3 linked regions of the Drosophila melanogaster genome follow. The protein of the gene in region 1 interacts with the protein of each later gene in a pairwise test. Each region holds a gene or a part of one and is shown in the gene's direction. Other genes may lie near its edges.

The links.
Region 2: the proteins of tbrd-1 (region 1) and tbrd-3 interact in a two-hybrid assay, tested with the Drosophila melanogaster proteins (one study listed by BioGRID).
Region 3: the proteins of tbrd-1 (region 1) and can interact in a two-hybrid assay, tested with the Drosophila melanogaster proteins (one study listed by BioGRID).

What each region holds. Positions count from the first base shown.
Region 1 is NT_033777.3:23,891,097-23,898,796, reverse strand, and holds tbrd-1 (testis-specifically expressed bromodomain containing protein-1), read left to right. Parts: upstream 1-5,236; 5' UTR 5,237-5,446; intron 5,447-5,507; 5' UTR 5,508-5,544; coding exon 5,545-7,086; 3' UTR 7,087-7,200; downstream 7,201-7,700. Other genes in the region: sba (six-banded), read left to right, coding at 1-1,390, 1,451-1,544, 1,606-1,734, 2,189-2,588, 3,300-3,789.
Region 2 is NT_033778.4:23,324,381-23,329,115, reverse strand, and holds tbrd-3 (testis-specifically expressed bromodomain containing protein-3), read left to right. Parts: upstream 1-1,534; 5' UTR 1,535-1,559; coding exon 1,560-2,366; 3' UTR 2,367-2,377; downstream 2,378-4,735. Other genes in the region: CG9861 (uncharacterized protein), read right to left, coding at 2,403-2,654, 2,713-3,855, 3,912-3,983, 4,056-4,139, 4,193-4,735.
Region 3 is NT_037436.4:10,261,551-10,268,912, reverse strand, and holds can (cannonball), read left to right. Parts: upstream 1-1,801; 5' UTR 1,802-1,847; coding exon 1,848-1,886; intron 1,887-1,960; coding exon 1,961-2,252; intron 2,253-2,306; coding exon 2,307-2,367; intron 2,368-2,433; coding exon 2,434-2,586; intron 2,587-2,642; coding exon 2,643-4,926; 3' UTR 4,927-5,004; downstream 5,005-7,362.

The sequences.
Region 1 (7,700 bases):
GATGACCAGGAGCATAGTGACCTCCACGGCGGGAACGAGTACGATTACAGGGCGTCCTGTGGCCACCACGTTAAACAACTCGAATCCCACTGTGGCGCAGTTGCAATCCATGGCGAATGCCATGAACGGAGCAGGTGGTGGTGGACAATTGATAATGACTTCTTCGGGACAACTACTGGTCATACCGACGCCCAGCAAGCAGACAACGCAACATCATCGCCCAGGTCAGCCCGGACAAGGTGTCATCATCCAGCAACAGCAGCCGGCGGAGTTGCATCCTCAACCGGGTGGTGGTTATATCGTCAGCCAGCCCTCTCCGGTGGCGGCGGCAAGCTCCAGCAGTAGCAGCAGTACTGTGATCCTAAACTCCGGTGGAGCCAAGTTGTTGCACCACCAGATCATCACCTCGCAGGCTGGACAGATTAATCAAGCGACTTCAGGAGGATCAGGAAACCAGCCGCAAACGGTGCTGCTCAACACACTGCCCAATGGAGGTTACATCGTCCAGCAGCAGCCGCAAACGCAGTCGCCACAGCAGGCAGAACAGATCCTGGCGATGCCGCAACCGCCGCCGGCGCAAACACTTATCATCAGCTCGCCGGACACCAAGAGGAGAGCGCGGAAGCGCAAAAGTTCTGTATGCCATACACCGCCGCCAAGTGGATCGCCCGCCAAAATCATTTCGCCTCAGATCTCGCCCAGCATCCCAAACCAGGCACCAGCTCTGCTTCACCAGCAGGCAGCTGCAGCGGCGGCTGCTGCTCCTCAATTCCAGCAACAATTCCAATTGAGTCCTGGTATTCAGGGAATTGTGGTAAACAAACCTAATCCCCCTCAGCAACCACAGACGCAGCAGCTTCTGCTCCAGAATGGGCAAATCTTGCAACAGGTTAATCTCATTGGACAGCAGCTTCTCATGCCGGCCGGGTTGGTAATGGGACCAGATGCCACACTGTTACAGATCCAAAATATGCCCGCAACAAGCTTGATGACACCGCAGGGTCCCGTGATGTTGAGAACGCCATCGCCACAGAACAAACCCTCTTTCATATCCCCGAGTGCCGGAGGCCAACAGTACTTAGTGGGTGCCAATGGCCAGTTGAGTCCCATCGGTCAGATCTACTCCACGCCCATGGGTCTGGTCATGCCAACCGGTCAGCAGGGAGGTGCATCCTTTGTGCAGGCTAGTCCCACGACAACAACTATACAGATCCAACAACAGCCAGCCCCGCAGCCCACGCAGATCAGTTTGCAGCCAGCACAGGCCACCTACATGACAGAGACGGTGATGAGTCGCCAGGGAACGGCCGCCAGTCCGCCGGACACAACTACCTGTAGTCCACGAAGTCCGGAGCGGCCTTCCAGCCATCGCAGCAGCGGTAGCGATATGGTGAGTTTTTTTGAATATGTTTCTCATATTGATTTCTTCTAACCGCTTTTACTTTGGTAGGTACAATGTGTATCCAGTTCGGAGCCGGATGCAGCTGTCTCTCCCCAAAGTACTGAGAGTCGGCAGTCGCCCTCTTCAACGGACTGTGAGAGGAGTAAGTGCATCTTCTTCAAGAAGAATCCTGTTAATATTAACCAATTCTGTTTAACAACTAGGCATTTGTAAGAACAATGTGTTTACCCAGCCCAGTGGGATCTACAAGCATTCGGAGCCAAAGATCAGACGCATCCACATCACCTCACAGACGTCGGCGGAGAACGGAATTAGCCTGATGCAGGGACAAGGTATGCGCCTGGCGACATCTAACACAAACTCCACATCTGCATCCATGTCTATAACATCGTCATCGTCGGCACCACTAACCACAACTGCTCTGGCTGGTCAACGCCAGCTTATGCACCGCCAGCAGGCCGTGCACCATCACATCCCAAACATCTCCAATAGCCATCCAAACACCTTCCTTCATAGCCACAAAGTAGTTAACTTTGACTATCAGGGTAAGGACCCATCGCTGACCAGCACTAATTGCATCCACACGCTAACCCACCAACACAACACCACCCGTTTGGCGACTGCATGATCGCCTGCACCACCTACAGCACATGTACCTGCACCTTTGTTTAGTTTAGAATCTCTACCCTTCGTCTGTACTTCGCTGGGTGCTGGGATCACCATTGCCCCCGAGTAACCAAATTCGTAGTCCTAGTTTCTATGAGTGTGTGTGTGTGCCTTTCGTAGAGTCGCCCACCACAACGCAGCTGCTTTCATCAGTTCCAACCGCTCAACCAACAGTCGAGAAGACGACGGTCAGGACGCCCACGAAACGTTCGCGCCGACCGCAACGAGGGGCAGCGCGTGCGGCGCCCTCGGCGTCTGATAAAAGTTTCCCGCTGCCACCACGATCCTTTGCCATTGGGGAACTGATATGGGGTCCAGCTCGGGGCCATCCCGCCTGGCCCGGAAAGATTGTCAAGATGCCAGACGGAGTGTGCACGCCGTCGCAGCAATTCGACCACGTCTGGGTTCAGTGGTTCGGCGGCGGCGGTCGTTCGACCTCCGAGCTAATTCCGGTCAACTCATTGCAGAGTCTCTCCGAGGGTCTGGAAGCACATCACAAGGCCCAGAAGGATACGAGAAAGTGAGCATCGACTAAGGGTGGGAATTTCTGGAAGAGATCAGGAGGGGAAAATATTTATTCAAGTTCATATTTAAAACAGGCAGCATTTCAGGAAACCTTCGGCTTTAGGTGAACTCCAGACCAGCTCTGTAGTTAGTTTTTGTACGATTTTGAAAAATATTTGTTGAATTTAAATTTATAAAATTTTCCTATCTTGAAGTAATGCGTATTTATCTTAACTTTGTAGTTTATTCTTGCATATTGTATGAAAGCAAACGTTACAATTTTTGTTTTGTTTATTTTTGTATACAAAATATTTTCATTTCTTCTAGATAACTTTTTAGTTTATTTTTTGCAGTCTTTATTAAGCCTTACAACCGTAGCTACATATATTTAGAAAATTGGACACTTTATATTATTAACTATGCAATTAAGCGATAAATCGGCATTTAAATGCATTATTAATTAGTTTAATCATTGTTTACAATTTGACTTTTAATTTGCTAATTAATATTCTTGTTTCTTTTTTTTTAAATGCGCTGAACCAAATCCAAAAATTAAACCATGCCCCGCCAACCCCAACGTGTATAACTCTGTGTGTGTATGCATAATCATCATCATCGTCATGACCAACAACAACCCCACTCGAAAATGAAAAACCCAAATCCGAACCCAACCTGAAACCAACCAAAAACTCAACCACATATACACACTCACCATGCGACCACAAAGGAGCCGCAAACTGAACTCGCAGCTCGAGCGGGCCATACAAGAAGCAATGACTGAGTTGGATAACATTTCAGCCTCCTCGACACCCGCAGCCACATCCTCGTCATCCGCAACCATCTCTGCTGTTCCCGCATCAGCAGGACCAGCTGTAATTGGCGGACAACAGCAGTATCAGCAGCAGCAGCAGCAGCAACAGCAGCAGCAATCGCCCTCTTCAACGAACAACAAAATAAATGGACTCGCGCGGAGCAAGCGCCAGGCCAACACAAGTGGGGCCAGCATGGTGCTGACCACCAGTACGGCGGCCACATTGAGTGGCCTCTTCAATCAGCAGCGAGCCAAGCCCATACGCATTGCTCCGGCTCCACCGGTGGCCACAACGGGCACAGGCAACATTGGGACGATAGCAGCAGCTGGAGCTGCAGCAGCTTCAACTGGAACCGGGACAGCGACAACATCGGCCCGTTCCGAGATCCTGAAGCTGGCCAAATGACCAGCGCTGTCGACGTTATCGTCGACAGTGAGCACAGCCAGCTACACCCTCGTTATCGGGCATAAGTAGTGGGCAGCAGGAGGATACATACCGCCAGGCCATATATATAGAGTTATCCATACATATGTGACGATACGAGTATAGAGTTTAGTGTTAGGTGTCAGGCCTCAGCTTTGGAGTTTGTTGTTTTGTATTCTTTGACAGACTCCCCGCTTAGTTGCGTCGCTGGGCGGCGCGCGCCACACTTTCGAAATAGACAATAAAACAGCAAGATGATGTTAATGAAAATCAAGTTACAAAGAGCAGTTCTAACAATTAGCGATAGGTTTTTGGCTTCATAGACAGCGCCTCGGCGCAAATTTGCGTTGTTTTGTATATAGTAAGCACCAAAAGCTACCAAGATGTTTCGTATTAAGTATTTATTTATTGCATATAGATCCTTGGTTTTTATAGGTTTTGTTTTCGTTGCAATTTATAGACCTACCGATTATTTGTATAAATAGGTAACCTAAGCTGATACTTAGCCACTAAGTTTAAAGAACATCCACAACAATTACATTTGCCTTGTCAAGCAAATGATATCAAATCAAAAACAGCTACTGATTTTCATTTATTGTGATTGCACAAATTGTTTTTTAAACTCTAGAAGAACAAATTATTTATGTCAAACACAAAAAGGTAAAAATCATGAGAAAATTAGGAAGGGTGGAAAAAAATTATATTTATAAATTGTTATTATTTATTTAGTTGAAACTATTGTAAAATTATAATTGTAAAACAAAAATGAAATCACACTTAGCGGAAACACACGGAGCAAATAAAAATTTAAAAAACAAGATAACTCTTTGATTCATGGCCCGCTTGACCCAATCTCTAAAGAAATACACCCTTGTATACAAACTGGGAATGTTCGGAGTTCCACACGCGATTCCCACTGAAGTTATTCCCATGACTTGATACTAGCATCCGATCCCGATGTGACGAACCAGCAGAGGACCTCCCGAGTCACCATTGCATGTGTCCTTATGGTCCGGAGATCCAACACACAACTGGGACTCCGCCTTATAGCCTTCCGGCACATCCTCGTTTGCATCCAACCGTAACTTGTAAGTTGGTAAGTTGTACCAAAGACACTAGAATAATAGAATAGAATTATTCTAGTGTCTTTGGTTGTACTTACACATCTGAGTAGAAGCAGTGAGTAGCCGTTAAAACCACCTGATAACTTATCAAGGTGCCACCACAAAACCACTTCGTTTGATTCCCACTAGAGCTGTGATGATCCAGCCGAGCAACCATGGGAAACTTTTTTTTGGCATATCTGCGGTGGCAACAACTACCAAGGTCCCTGAAGTTGCACCTTAGAAAGGAGTATTATCACTCATACTAGACGATTGCTAGCTATCGAATGTAAGCTCACTGTGAATGTCACAAATTTTGACAGACCCAACGTAGCACAAAAAAGTCAGTGACAAAATCCGTCTGGTCATTTTTTATTTTCTACTACTCCCAACGGAGACTTACATACAATAAATGTAAATCACATCACCATAGACTCTAGTGTCAAGAGGTAATTATTAGTGTTTGACGAAAAGAAGTTCAGTAAAGTTCTGTATTCCGAGCCGAAAGGAGCTGTGAATTTTGAGTTGTTCAAAAAGTAAGCATTTGAAATAGTTCACATTCTTCCTAAATACCAAAAAAAAAAAAAACTGCTTTAGGCTAATATTAGGAGTTGGGTGACCTTACAAACCAGCAATGAATGAACTGCAGTCGAATAGCAACCAGCCTCCGCCGCGCAATGAGCCGTATCTGCAGCCGGTGAATGGCATCGTGCAACCGCCGGTGATTCCGCCACCGAATCGTCCTGGGCGAAGGACAAACATCCTAGAAGAGCTCAAGTCCGTGCTGAATTGCTTATGGCGCAATCGCTTCTCGTATCACTTTCGCCATCCCGTCGATTCTGTGAGCCTGGGTGTGCCCGACTACCATGCGGTGGTCAAGCATCCGATGGACTTGAGTACAATTAGGAAGCGACTGCACAACAAATACTACTGGCAGGCGAGCGAGGCTCTGGAGGATTTCAAGCTGATATTCGATAACTGCTTGTTGTACAATTTGGAGGGCTCACCGGTTTATCAGGCAGGGAAGCTTCTAATGGAGGCCTTTTACATGCGAATGGAGTCCATTGATTTGAGCACGGAGGTGGAACTAAAGCCGAAGTCGGAAAAGCGCAAGAGAAAGGCTACTGAATCATTGGATCAAGCCTCGACTTCGTTCTCAGCACCTCGAGCATCTAACAATTATTCTAGACAGTGGCTCTCGAGTAGTTCCTCATGGCTCTGTCCCCCACCGATGCCTGGCGGGGTGTCGTCATTTAATCCTTCATTCCGAAATTTCGTGGGTCCCAGCTTGATCCCATCTTTTATGCCCGATTCCTTGGTGAATCCCATGCAATCTATGCATCCAATGTCATCAATGATGAATCCGATATTCAAGAATAATTGGGAGACAAATGAAGCAATGGATCCACCGCCCTCAGAGCCAATTTCCTATCGTCCCTTGGATTCCTTGGCAGCACCCTTACCGTCCCCTCCAATGGAACCCATGACTTTGCCTTGGCCAACCCCAGCACCAGTTGAATCTCCAGCTTCATCGCCTCCTCCGGCTCCCAATCCACCCATTATCATCTGCTACAAGTCTCTCGACCGAATGATTGAAAAAAGCCACTCAGATCATCTTCTGAAGTCGATGGTAAAGCGAAAGCGCAAGCAGGTTACATGGGCATTTAATCAGGCTGACTACTGGCGAAGGTACTCCCAGAATCCGGACTACGACCACGATCGCGAAGAGAAACTCGATTGGAAGATACTACAGGAGCGCTTGGACTCCGATAACTTTGAGAGCTTTGATGGATTCGTGAGCTCTGTACGAAAGATGTTCCAGAACGCATTGCGTTGCTTTCCGGAAGATGGATTGGTCAAGGTTTCGGTGAAGAAAACCAATGAGATCTTTGAGAAAAGGCTGCCCAAGTACAGGGAGTTAATTGCCACGGCCAAGGAAAAGGGGCGTCAACTGGTGGCCAGCAGGGAACAAGATTTTCGTGACTCACAAAACCTGCTCATTAAACAAGAAAACGCTAATAAGAATTTCAAAGGATGGGTTCCAAAGCCATTTATTATTAAAACGGAGTCCCTGTTTGTGCAAGAACAGCGAGTGTACAAAATGGAGCCCCAGGATGTACAAGAATTTTCACCTGGTACGGAGCCGCTGGATGACCAAACTTATGATAGCGATTAAAGTGTGTAGAATTCTACCACGGAAATGAAAAAAAATGAAAATGCAAATTATTATAATTATTATTCATAAAGAATTGTTATTAGCCTAAAATATGATTCTAATTACGAGCTACCGACATTCTCATAGTTTAATTATACCTGTATTACTAGATGCGTTGAAAAGTATGGAACAGGCAGAAGGAAGCGATTGCGATCATATACATTTGTCTATACATTTTTGATCAGGATCAATAGCCGAGTCGATCTGGCCATGTCCGTCTGTATTGATCTCATTTTGCCACGCCCACACTTTTGAAAAATGCTTAGATTTTTCTTCGTGCAAAAAAAAACACTAGCCACGCGCCTCCTTTTGCTACAATACGCCCAAAACGGTCACGACTATTTTATTCCCCAGTATCTATCGATATCCCAGAAAAATGATGAAATGTTCCCTTTGGCATTCCCACTAGCTGAGTAACGGGTATCTGATAGTCGGGGAACTCGACTATACCATTTTCTATTGTTTTTAAATTCAAAATAAAACAGTCAAGCACCAAGGTGCCACCTCTCGGTTGACATTGCAACTACGCAGAGCTAAGGTGACCAGTCGTCTTGCAATCTGGCAGCCCTATAACA
Region 2 (4,735 bases), on another chromosome or scaffold:
CGGCGTCCTCGTCTGCTGGTTCTTCCCTTCTTTCCATTTCTGCAGGGCTTTCATATTGCCGCCCTTTTTTTTATATTTATCCATATATTGCCCGGTTCCAATGGGATGCGGGATGGCCAGGTAGGGATTCGTTCGCAGGTGCGAGGCAAGTGGGTTTGGGGGAAAGGGATGTGCTTGCCACTGACAGCCTCACACGTTTCCTTTGCGTCCCCCTGGCGATCCTTTTAGCACCTGGCCCAGTCTCTGGGTGTATAATTTCATCTGCCAACTGATTGAGTGTCGCAGTTTTACTTATGTGAAAAACGAACAAGATTTTTATCTGGAAATCGGCAATAGAGAGCGGAATGTTTGCCGTGAAATGCGAAGTAAAGTTCTGCCCCGCTGACATATCGACAAGATCAAAGGGAATCGTGTGCTAAGGGCTCTCAGCTACACATATGCATAAAAATATCACTCATATCAATTTATTCTAGGTCTAGATGCCTCCAAAGCGAATGATCTTGCGAAAAAGTGGATATATGACAGATATAGGGTATAACTTTATCTATATTGTTATTTGGTATTTTTGATTATATATATTTTAAATATACTTTGAAGATTAATCTCTTTTTCTTTCGGTTTCGCAAACTCTATGTGTAAAGTCTCCAAACTTGGGGTTGAAGGTCAACATCCGAACCAGATGATGCCCAGAGGTGAATCCCCATTCGCAAGTGGGTCAGTGGAGTGCAATCCCAATTGACCCATTCGCAGGACCATTCCCCCAAAGGCCCAACAGCAGACTGAAGAGGCGCCCCAAGATGTGGCCAAGACCTGGTCCGATTGCCACCCAATTTGCAACATTTTGTGGCAGGTAAGTTAACAGCGAGAAAATGAAGGTCTCCGTAAATCGGTTGCTCTCAGTTGTGGATCGCAAGCTAACAGAGGGAGAGAGCCACAGGAACAGGATTTCCCCTCATGCCTGTGGAAGCCAACTTAACAGAGTGACTTTAAACAGGATTTCGATTTAACTTTTGTAAACCCAACTTGTTGACTGCCCAAATGAAAGCCCTGCAAATATTTGCCCAAAAATGATGTATATTGTGTGTCCTAACAAAACTTTTATGCTAACGAAATATTTCGGCACTCTAAAATAGCAAACGTCAGCGGTTGACCATAAATATTTTCGCCCCCACAGCTCGATGGGGATTTTAAATACGTTTACCGAAAAAAGGACTGTTTGTACGGGTCTCGGAATTAGATTAACCATCATAGCTTCAGGATTGAGGCAGAGCATTCCCACAAAGGACCGCACTCCCACACAAAATGTATGGAAATACTTTCCTGGCCGGAGCCACTTGCATAATTAACTGAATTTGTTTGTTGCCCCAAACCGCATTTGTGGATTGACTTTTCTGCTCGGATTGAGGTGGCAATCCTAAAAGTTTTCATAAGCTAAAAATATCATCGTACAGGGCAACCCGGAGTGTGAATATTGTCAGTTGTATTGCGTTCAAGTTGTCAAAACGATAGAAATTATAATAGAATTTTCCGATAGTCGATATCGAAGATATTTTTCTGAAATGGCTGCAAAACAAGAAACTGAACGGTCCTCGCCGGAAATTAATGCCTGCAAGGTGATTATTAAAAGGTTGTTTTCCAGTACCTATAAGAATATTGCTTGGGTTTTCTACGAGCCACTGGATCCGCAACTGCTGGGCCTCCACGATTACCATGAGATTGTCCGGGAACCCATGGATCTGTCCACCGTGAGGCATCGTTTGAATACGGGTTGCTATCTCAGTGCCGCGGATTTCGCCAAAGACATAAGGCTGATTTTCTACAACACCTATCTGTACACGAATCCCGATCACCTGTGCTACCACATGGCCAAACAGCTGCAGATCATCTTTGAGGAGATGTACTCCCAGGTGCAGCTCTACATCTGCTCCAGCGGCAGTAAAGTGCGTGCCGAGGAAGAGAGCTCCTCGGATGAATCGGACTCATCATCGCCGGAGGACGAGGTGAACGGCTCGGAGGTGTCCCCCTCCATAATGGGTGCGCCCCCCTCATGTACTCCAACCACCGAATGTACTCCGACCCCCGATTGGACTCCGCCGGCAACTTTGGAAACTTCGGAGCAGCAGGAGCCCTTTACAACCGAGGAGGACCTTGATCTGCACGCCAAGATTCAGCAGCTGGACGGCGAGGTGCTGCTCCACGTCATCCATTTCATTCAACGCATGGAGGGCGCCGAGTACTGCAACAAGGAGCTGGAGTTCGACATCTGCAAACTGAAGGTGCACACCAAACGCGGCATCCGTGATTATTTGGCCAGCAAGGGGTTCACCGGCAAAAGAGTGGCCCGCACCAAGCCCAAATATAATTGAGTTTCAGATTGAAAAAGAGTTTTAATTTATTGTAATCTAGTCCTTTTTGCCCAAAAGCTTCTCCTGCTCCTTTCTCTTGTCGCGCATGGAGCGGTAGTTCCGGAAATCCCCATTCCACGTCTTGTTACGCATGATCTCCAGCGGATTGGAAGCTATGTAAGCGAAAAAGGTCTTCCGAGGAGGTCCTCCGGGCACCAGATAGTTGCCCATGGCGTACCAGGCGGAGCTCACGATGCTTAGGTAGCGGGCATTCAACTGATCGTGATATGTTTGCTTAGCCAGGGCAGCCTGAAAAATATAGTTTTAGTATAGTAAAATATATGTACATATATATATATATATATACCGTATTCTTAATCTGCTTATAGAAGTTAAAGTTCTCCTTGGATCTGGGCAGGCGATCAATGCCCATAAGATCGGGACTGGCGGGACTGCTCTGGAGGATGGTGACCAGCTCGAATATCCTGCTCGACTCGGCTATACTCTCCTCGAGCTCCTTCTGGCTGTAGGTTTTGCCGTACCTCCTCTTGACCCACTCCCGCAGCACTGGCAGCTTGTGGGCGTCTGGCAGACAGGCCAGCACATAGCGGGGCTCCTTCCTGAGTACTCGCATGCCATCCTTTAGCAACTTGTCCATCTGGGCGGCATCGTTCGGATCGAATGATTCCGTATCCTTATGGGTCAGTGCCTTGCGCGGCGTCATTCTGCCCATGCGCTCCATCTCGGCCCGCTTTATTAGGGTACGCTTCTGCCAAACCGCCTTGGCACATCTCACTACTGCATCCACGATCTCCGCCTTGTAGTTCACATGGCTGCGACCACTGTGGTTGCTCGAACGATCCAAGGTCTCTCGACTGTCGGAGATTCTAGTCTGATCCAGGTCACTAAAGATTTCCAACGGGGGCTGGCTGTCCTGCTTCGATTTCTTCTCCGGCTCGGTTTCGGGAAGGCCTTCAGACTTGGAATCCGGAGGCGCCTCGTCCTCAATCACCATCTCCGACAAAAGCTCCCTAAAGTAACACGGATCGGCTTCGTCCCCATCCGACTGATCCAGCGCCTTCACAAAAGACTTGGCCATAATATGACTGAGATCAAAGGGTTTCGGTTGGCCGGATTGGAAGACCCGATGGTATTTGAACTGGTACGGCTTGTTCGAACGGGGTCCCCGGAAGAACCTAGTTTTCACATGCCTGTTATTGGGCATGCGCATATCGCACTTGTGTGCATTCCCTTCGATCTTTCCCTTGGCCAGGATAAAAGATACGGCCGACTTTTTGGGAGCCGGAGGAAGCTCGCACTCCGAAGGACCAACTACTTGCGTACACACCTGTGTGTACTCGTTGAAGTCGATGTTGTGGATACGGAAGGGGCCGCTAACGAGTTTGCGAGGCGGTGGCTTCCAGGGCGATACCTTCGGCTTCTTCGGATTTTCTGGTTCCGGTTCCACTACTTTAGCCTTTTTCTCCTTTTTCCCCTTCTTGTCTTTTTTCTTCAATACAGAAAGATTGTAATGAAAGTTAATCTATTTGGTAATTTTCCACTCACCGGCTTTCCTCCACCACCCTTTAGCCTCTTTCCGCGGCCCTTTTCTGCAGGCGGTTGGGGTACTGTGGAATCCTTAATTTTGTTCAATAGAAAAATAAAAGTGGGTATGGAAAATGTAAATATATTTGGTAATTTCAAACATACCGTCTTCTCTGCACCTCCCTCCAGCCTTTTTCCGCGACAAGTATCGATTCCACTGGTACGGGCTACTGTGCCATCCTTTTTTTTCTTTAATTGGATATTAGGTATAGAATGTATGTATTTGATAATTCTCAACTTACCGGCTTTTCCGCACCACCCTCCAGCCTTTTTCCGCGGTAAGTATCGAATGCAGTAGTATGAGCCACGGTACAATCCTCGCCCACCAGAGCCCGACCAATCTGACCCTTGGTTTCCGGCCAGGGTTGCGATACCAGCATCTGCTGGCACAGCACGCAGTCAAAATTCTCGATGGTCAGCACCTTGGTCTGGTCGCAGTGCATCGCGTTTCGGTGGCGGGCCATTATTACGTCGATGTCGTGCTCCAACTGGGCCACGATTCTGGCCTTTCGAAGCTTGGCGTATGGCTCGTTCACATCGAGGAGTTCCAGGCAGCGATCCCTCGCCTTGACCGCCAGTTCATCCCTCAGGAGCTGGGCCTGCAACACCTGACCCTTGTGCACCAAGCACATGTTGGCTTCGGGCTCCCGACTTTGTTGGGTTTCCTCCGCATCCTGCTTCCCCTCAACTGCTGCCAATTTAAAGTAACGCTCCAGGGTCTCGGAGAGGGTTTTCTTGATCAGTCGCTGGCCGGGATTCAGTCGGTACAGCGCATACCAAGGCTC
Region 3 (7,362 bases), on another chromosome or scaffold:
TTCCGGGCATAAATCACACAAGATAATTTGCATAAGTTGGCAGGCCAGAGCGAAATCAGCAGCAGCTAAAAATGTTTATGGCCTTTTCGCTTGCCACGCCCCCTTTTCGACTTTTGCACCCCGCCCCTGTGGAAAATTCCCTAATCAAATTAGCAACAGTTAAGCGGAAGTGCGAAAATCCGCAAGCTGCATTGTTTGTTGTGTGTTTACTTTTGGCTTTGTTGCAATTTGGGATTTCGGTGTGTGTGTGCGGTGCATTTATTTTGATTTGATTGTTGGCCTCACTCAGCGGGGCTTTCGCACTCGCAAATTTGCATTTTTGGATAATTTTTGCATTTCGGATTTTGCATTCTGGCATTCGAGTATTTGCATTTGAATGTTCGCGTGCGTTGCATGAATCATTCATGTTCGAGTTTCTGTTTCTGATTCAGATTCTGGTGGTGCTGCTGCTGTTGCGGCTGGTGATGATTCAAGTATCGATTTGCATTGATTTGCATTTCAATTGCAGCTTTTCGACACTTTACAATGGATTATGCTGCAGTGTGATTTATCTATGGCCAGCATTACATATCAAGTGATTTGGCAATTGTTGCTGTCCATAATGAGGCTTTGTTTGCCATTGTGTTCGCCTCTAACTGTTGGCCCTTGACTATTGACACACATACCCATCCATGAATACCAATTGCCAATATTCCTAGTTTTTAATGCAGTTTTTTTTTTTATTTTATTTAAAGCACTTAAAGTGTGCATCCCCGTGCGCGCCATAAATCATGGCGAAAATTACAAAACAATATGCAGCTACATTTTCTGCTTCTGCTGCGGGTTGTCCTGTCGCCGGCTTTTTGTATATCCATTTTTTACGCACGTCTTTTTTATTTTATGTGCCCTGCAAAATGAGTTGCCAGCGCCGCCGACATATTGCCCGAACTGCGGAAGAATTCCAAACGCATCCGCGGGTTTTGGTCCGCCAGCATACTCGCACAATTCCACTGACAAGTGAGTGGTGAAAAGAAGTATCAAAACATAAAATTATTTTTAGAGCCGAATGAAAAATACTCTGTTAAAAAATATTCCAAATTATTTAGATAGTTGTGTAACCCTGTTGGTCATTAAGAATTTACAATAGACTGACAAACTTTCACCTTCAAGGTAAAACGATTTTACCTTTGTGAGCAGATCTTTGGGCGGAAAATTAAAAACACCCAATATACATATAGGGTATAACGTAAAATTAAAAGAGGTCCCTGAAATGGACAGTGGCATGGGAAACCTCTGCGTAGCAACAAATCCGTCGAGTATTGGGTATGCAAATTAATTTTTTTTTACCTATGGACCAGTCGTTCAGCCCCTCCACCACCCCTCGCTTTTTAAGGACACCCTGGATTCCAGCGCCCTCATGTGATGTGCTGCTGAGCCAGCATTTTGTTTCAGATCAGCGGTAGTCGCCGTGTCATGTTGGGTAAAATTTGTGAAAAAAAATGGATAAATCGAATAGAGGGAATGTATTTGAAAACATAATATCAACCACAAAAGTTGAGCTGGCCATGCCATAAAGACCATTTGAAAAGTTATAAGGTGTTGTAATATAAATTAACAATTAAGAAAGAAATATATATATATATTGGGAAATACATTTTGTTTGTTAGAAACAATGTACAATATATCCAAAAAAAAAAGTTTTAACGTCATAAAACAAAATCAGATTTTGGCTTTTTGGCAAAATGGGCTTCAAAAATACGGCCACACAATGCGCAGCTGTCAAATCGAAAACTTGTCAAGTCAAGGAAAATATTCACTTATTGCACTAGGGCTGATTTGGATTGTTCAAATATTTAAGAGCAATAAAGATGGATTTACCATTGCCAATACTAATACCATCTAGTGATGTGAGTAAGAATATGTATGCGCTTTCTAACAACTGGTTAAAATAAGTATCCAAACTCTTCATGCGCTCAATCAGGAAGTGTACGTTATTTCCGATTCGGATGATTCCGATTCCGATGATATCAGAAATGAGCTTATGAAACTGGAGGATAACAAGGATAAACCCAAAAACAAGGAACGCCAAAAGTCTAAGAATGAAAATAGTCAGATAAAAATGAACAAATGGTATTTGAAAGAATTCGAAGACCTTATGGGACTCGAAATTGCTTGCTCCGATGATGAAGACGATATAGATGATCGTAATAGCGAAATATGGAGCAGCTCGGAGTCCGATAAAATTAGCGATTCAGATGATTCCAACTCAGATGGTAAGTTTCCAAAAAGGAAATGCATATTAACAAAGTAAGGAACGTTATTTTCAGGATCGCCCACCGAATGGATTAACAGAATAAAGAATGTCAATCTATTTCCATTCAATAAAAGGTTAGCGATATTAACAAATATTTTCGGACTTAGTTTACACTAGAGTTTTTAATTCCTTTCCTTTAGTGCTGAAGATGAAAAACCAAAGGCTTGTGAAGAACTTCCCTCAATACCAGTTTTTACTGGTCCGATGCCATCGATGCCGATTTATGATGAAGAAACCTGTCAATTTGAAATGGTGCCACCCATCATACAACCAGACTTAATTAAGGAAGTAACGTAAGTCTTAAGTTATAATTAAGTTACTTCCACTAATTCTGGCACACGAATCGCAGTGACGCAGAAATGCCAATTGAGTTGGATAAATCCGATTCTGAGTTGGAAAAAGAAAAGTTAAAAGCCGATGAGGATGACAACTTTTCGGACAGTAACACCAGTTCCAGTTTTAGTTTGAGCAGTTTAGATGATTATGATTATGGTGAAACTGATCTTGATGAACAGCATAACGAGAATAAATGTACTTACTGGGAGGAAATGTCATTGCGTCCCGTTGACAAGGGCGAAGTTTCACAAGAAGAACTAATGGCTATTTTGAATGAAGACGAGAGTTCCCCAGATCATCGAAGTGAATGTGATATCGACGAAGCCATTAGGACCCGTGATGGCTCAGATTTTTACGAAGATAGTGCTCAGTTTCTGGAAAACATGGAAAATGTTAGCTTGTTGGTTATCAAAGAGGATTCGGTTTTTGCGGATTATGAATTCGCGGTAAAGAAACTTATTAAACTGATCCAATCGACACCAAGTCACTACAAATACGAGATATATATTCTGTTATATCCCTTGTTGGTCCTAACTTATCTCCAAATGATGGCCAGTGATAAGATACAGAAAGCTAGGATGCTTCTTGTTCGCTTTCAAGATCATCTCGACGATTCATATATATCAAGAATTATAAAGCTAAGAGAAATTTCCAAGCCAGCAGAAGTTCCGAATAAAGCACGCAAATTATTGGCTGGCCTTGAAAAGGTGAAGATTGAAATGTCTGAGGGAGCTTTTCGACAGTTACTTCTTTGCACAGAGGAATGGACTAGAGGTCAGCAAGAAAAATTGCTGAGCCATTTTCAAATACAGCCTTATAGTGAAGATGACAAGCCCCAGCAACGATTTGCCATAGGACAGCCTCTTTTGGAGCCGATATGGTATGGTGCTCCAGAACCCTTGCACAAAAAGGACTTTGCCGCTCGTCCTTTTTTTCAAAAACGTCGCAAGAAAAGGAGCGAACCACAGTTATCAGATAATTTACATTTGCCACCGGTAAATAGGGTTTACAATCCGATTCCCAACAAAATGGATTTGCTTCACATGAAGAGTGATGAACAGTATCGAATGAAATTAGATCGGAATAACCTGCCATCGACTTACTTGTACACAACTTCTCCCTCCGATGAGGTCGTGATTTGTGCCACCTTCTCGGAAGGCAATAGCATGTTGGCACTGGGAACTGTATCCTCTAAGGTATATGTTTTCTCTCTGAAACCCTCTAAATTGGTTCAAGTGAAAGCTGCACAGTGGCTAAAAAATCTGGATACCGGAATGGCTGGGGTTGATAAGGATATGATAGATCCCATTAAGAAGTTCACCAGACGTACTCTGTACGGACATCAAGGACCTGTCTATGGTTGTTCCTTTAATCCAGAGGATCGCTTTCTGATCACATGTTCCGAGGATTTCAGCGTTCGCTTGTGGTGCCTTCTGTCCTGGAGTTGTGTGGTTATTTTTTCCGGCCATTTGGCACCGGTTTGCTTTGTTGTTTTTGCACCAAGGGGTTATTATTTCGCCACCGCATCGGATGATTGTACGGCGAGAGTTTGGATGCAGGATAATACGAAACCCGCCCGAATTCTTCAAGGACATCTGGCCGAGCTCGGGGTGTGCCTATTTCATCCAAATCGTCACTATATGGCCACTGGATCTGCTGATTGCACTGTTAGGATCTGGGATATTGTCAAGGCTGTTCAAGTGCGCATTTTTCGTGGTCATAAAAGCAGGATAACCGCCTTGATCTACTCAATTTGCGGTCGTTATTTGGTTTCTGGAGGCGATGACAATCTCATCATGATTTGGGACACAGCCAATGAGATTTTGATGCAGTTCTTTGACCATCATAAGGCCTCGATTAATACCATGGAAATCTCTTTGGATAATAACATATTGGTTGTGGGTGGACAGGATTGCCAGCTGACCTTGTGGGACTTTGAGCAGGTGATTAAGAATTACTTGAACAGGGCCAAGATAAGTATGAAAAACCAGGCGGGAACTCAAGAATCGAGTGCCAATAATTTGCTGGTCAGCTCATTTTTCACCAAGGGAGAACCATTTTATATGATCCGCTTTACACGTCGCAATCTCTTACTTGGTTTCTGTGTGACTCCTCGAGAATTTGAGAATGATGTCCTCGACGTGAAGCTTAATCAGAACAAGCACAAGGAGGAGAAGAAAAAGGAACTCGGCGAATGGCTGGATTTTCTAGACACCATCAAATTGAAGGCTTGTTACGATCTGAAGGACGAAATTAATTTGGATACTTCGCAGGTAGAGAAGGAGAACAAATCTTAATTATTGTAAGCTCTCTCTTAAGTATTTAAATAAAAAACTGTAAATAAATGTATATAAACCATCGAAAGTTTCAAATAGAACGATTGCGTTTTGTAATTCACAAAAATAATGCTTACCCGCAAAATTATTTTTAAAGCAGGGTTGTTTCATGTTATTTATGGAATAATATTGGAGATAAACATTTCGTATGACAAATATACAAGATTTTCTGAAGCAGAGACAAACCCCCAGAGCGAAGGAGAATGCTGCAGTAACAACAATTTGACAGTTTCGAAAAAAAAAAAAACAGGTCAGGCCACGTGTACAGCTGCCCACGACTCATTCCTCCTTGAAAAAAATCCACTCCTCCTGCAGGAGATTTCTTCGTGGTCCTCACATTTACAAAAGGCGTGCAAAATTTATAGAGGCACGCATTAAAAAATCCGCCAGGCACGCTCGACTAACTGCGTCCAAACGCCCATGGGGCTGGCAGTTGAGCTTCGAATTGGTCCCGGCCGACCGCAGTCCGATGTCCCTCGTCCTGCGTCCTTCGTCCTTCGTCCTGTCCCGCATCCACGAAAAAACCCCCCTTAAGAATAAGCGACAGGACAATATATTTACGCAACTTCTTATGCTGCCGCTTTAGCCGGTGGTTGTTGTCCTTCTCTTTCGGCTTCGAAAACAGAACTCAAGTGTTGTCGTTGTCCTTGCTGCCCATGTACGCTCCCTTGGCAACCAAAATGCCCCAGCCCCACCACCTCTACGCCACTGCAGCATCTTGCGTCTCGTTTGTAGCAGTTATCTTGTGGGTCCTGCTGCGCGAAATGAAATTGTTTACTCCACTGTCATATGCACGTGAGCCAAGCGATGTGGCTGGCATATCCGGAAATGCACAGAGAAAAATAGCTGAAATATACTATTTAAAAATATATTACAACACTTATGTTCTTTGTCATAAGGAAAAAAACTTTTTATAAAATCAATAAAACTTAAAAACTATTTTTAAAAGGCTTACATCGATAAATTTAAATATATTTAACATATGTTATTGGTTTCTTTTCCGTGATTATAAGTTATTGATTACCTCAGTCTCTTGGGTATAGTATTATTTTTTTTCCGTGTATCCTTGCGGCATCGTTCTGGTGGGCTATCAAAAAATGAGAATTCTTTCGCTTCGTTTTCTTTTCCTTTGCTTTTTTGGGGGAAAATTCAACGTAATAATTCTTTTCCGCTCGGATGGTATGCGGGGCGTGGCGGTGGGCGGCAGAGGTACAGTCCGTTTCAGCCCCGTAATTGTGCGCAATTTCGCCTGGACATGTTTTCTGTTCGCTGCTCCTTCGACTCTGTCTTTATCTTCTGCCATATCTTTGGTTCACCGCCATTTTCTTTTCTGCACACATGCAAAAAAAAAGAAAAAAAAAACCTCCACATTTACACACATGTTTTATGTCCTTTAAGAATCAGACCCACCCAGCCGCCTTCTTTTATTTGCACATTTTTCATGGGGCTTATTAAGGGACTATGAAAAAATAAACAGCACAGTCCATTTAACCGATTTGCACGATGGGAAGTGGAGAGAAAATCCCCGGGAGCTGGGCAGAGCAGCGCATAAAATAAATATTTATAATCATAACAATGTCCTGGCTGGTTTCGAACCAATCTTAGCCTGATGATGAGCAAACAAACCCAAAATCTGAAGGACTGCGGGCTGACAAGATCCTCGCAAAGGTAACAAAAATATGCAAAATTAAATTGAGGCTATTATATCAAATATTTCAGTTTTAGTAAAATTTGAATATTTTCACAATCGATTGGCTTGAAATAAACAGTTCTCGCAGTGGCAAAGGGCAAGTTTAGGTAAATTTAAAAATTCTTATTTGATTGCAACATAACTTTACTTGCAACCTTTTATGACGCGCCATAAGCGACCCCTTCCTTTGCACTCATTAAACTTAAACCGCGTATTAGCAGGCCGTTAAATACAGGATGTGTGTGCGTTTGGAGTCGGTTGTTAAATATGATAAATGCGGCGGATTGTATTACAATTGGATTTAGGGCAGCGCCAAAGACAATAAATTAAATGGCGGACACACACCGATAATTTCAAGTGTGTGCCGCCAAAAAGGCAGCGATGCAAAAGCCAAGTGCCACAAAACCCATAATTACGCAGTTCGGGCAGAGGACCCTCGATGTTAGCCAAAATTTATATTTATACAAATTCCAACTCCGGTAGTTCGCTTCGATTGGGGAGTGCTGCCAGTGGAACGTGTTTCCAGAGCAATTACCCCACGAACCGCACTCCGCATTATTACGGCCAACGTGGCTCCGCAATTATGTCGTCCAATTAATATCAACGCAGCGGGAGTTGAGAGCCACGTTCGAATCGAGTGGCCAGTAGAATGGGTAAGGGGCCACCGACTGCATTTTATGCATAAGCTATTTATGAAATTTATTGTC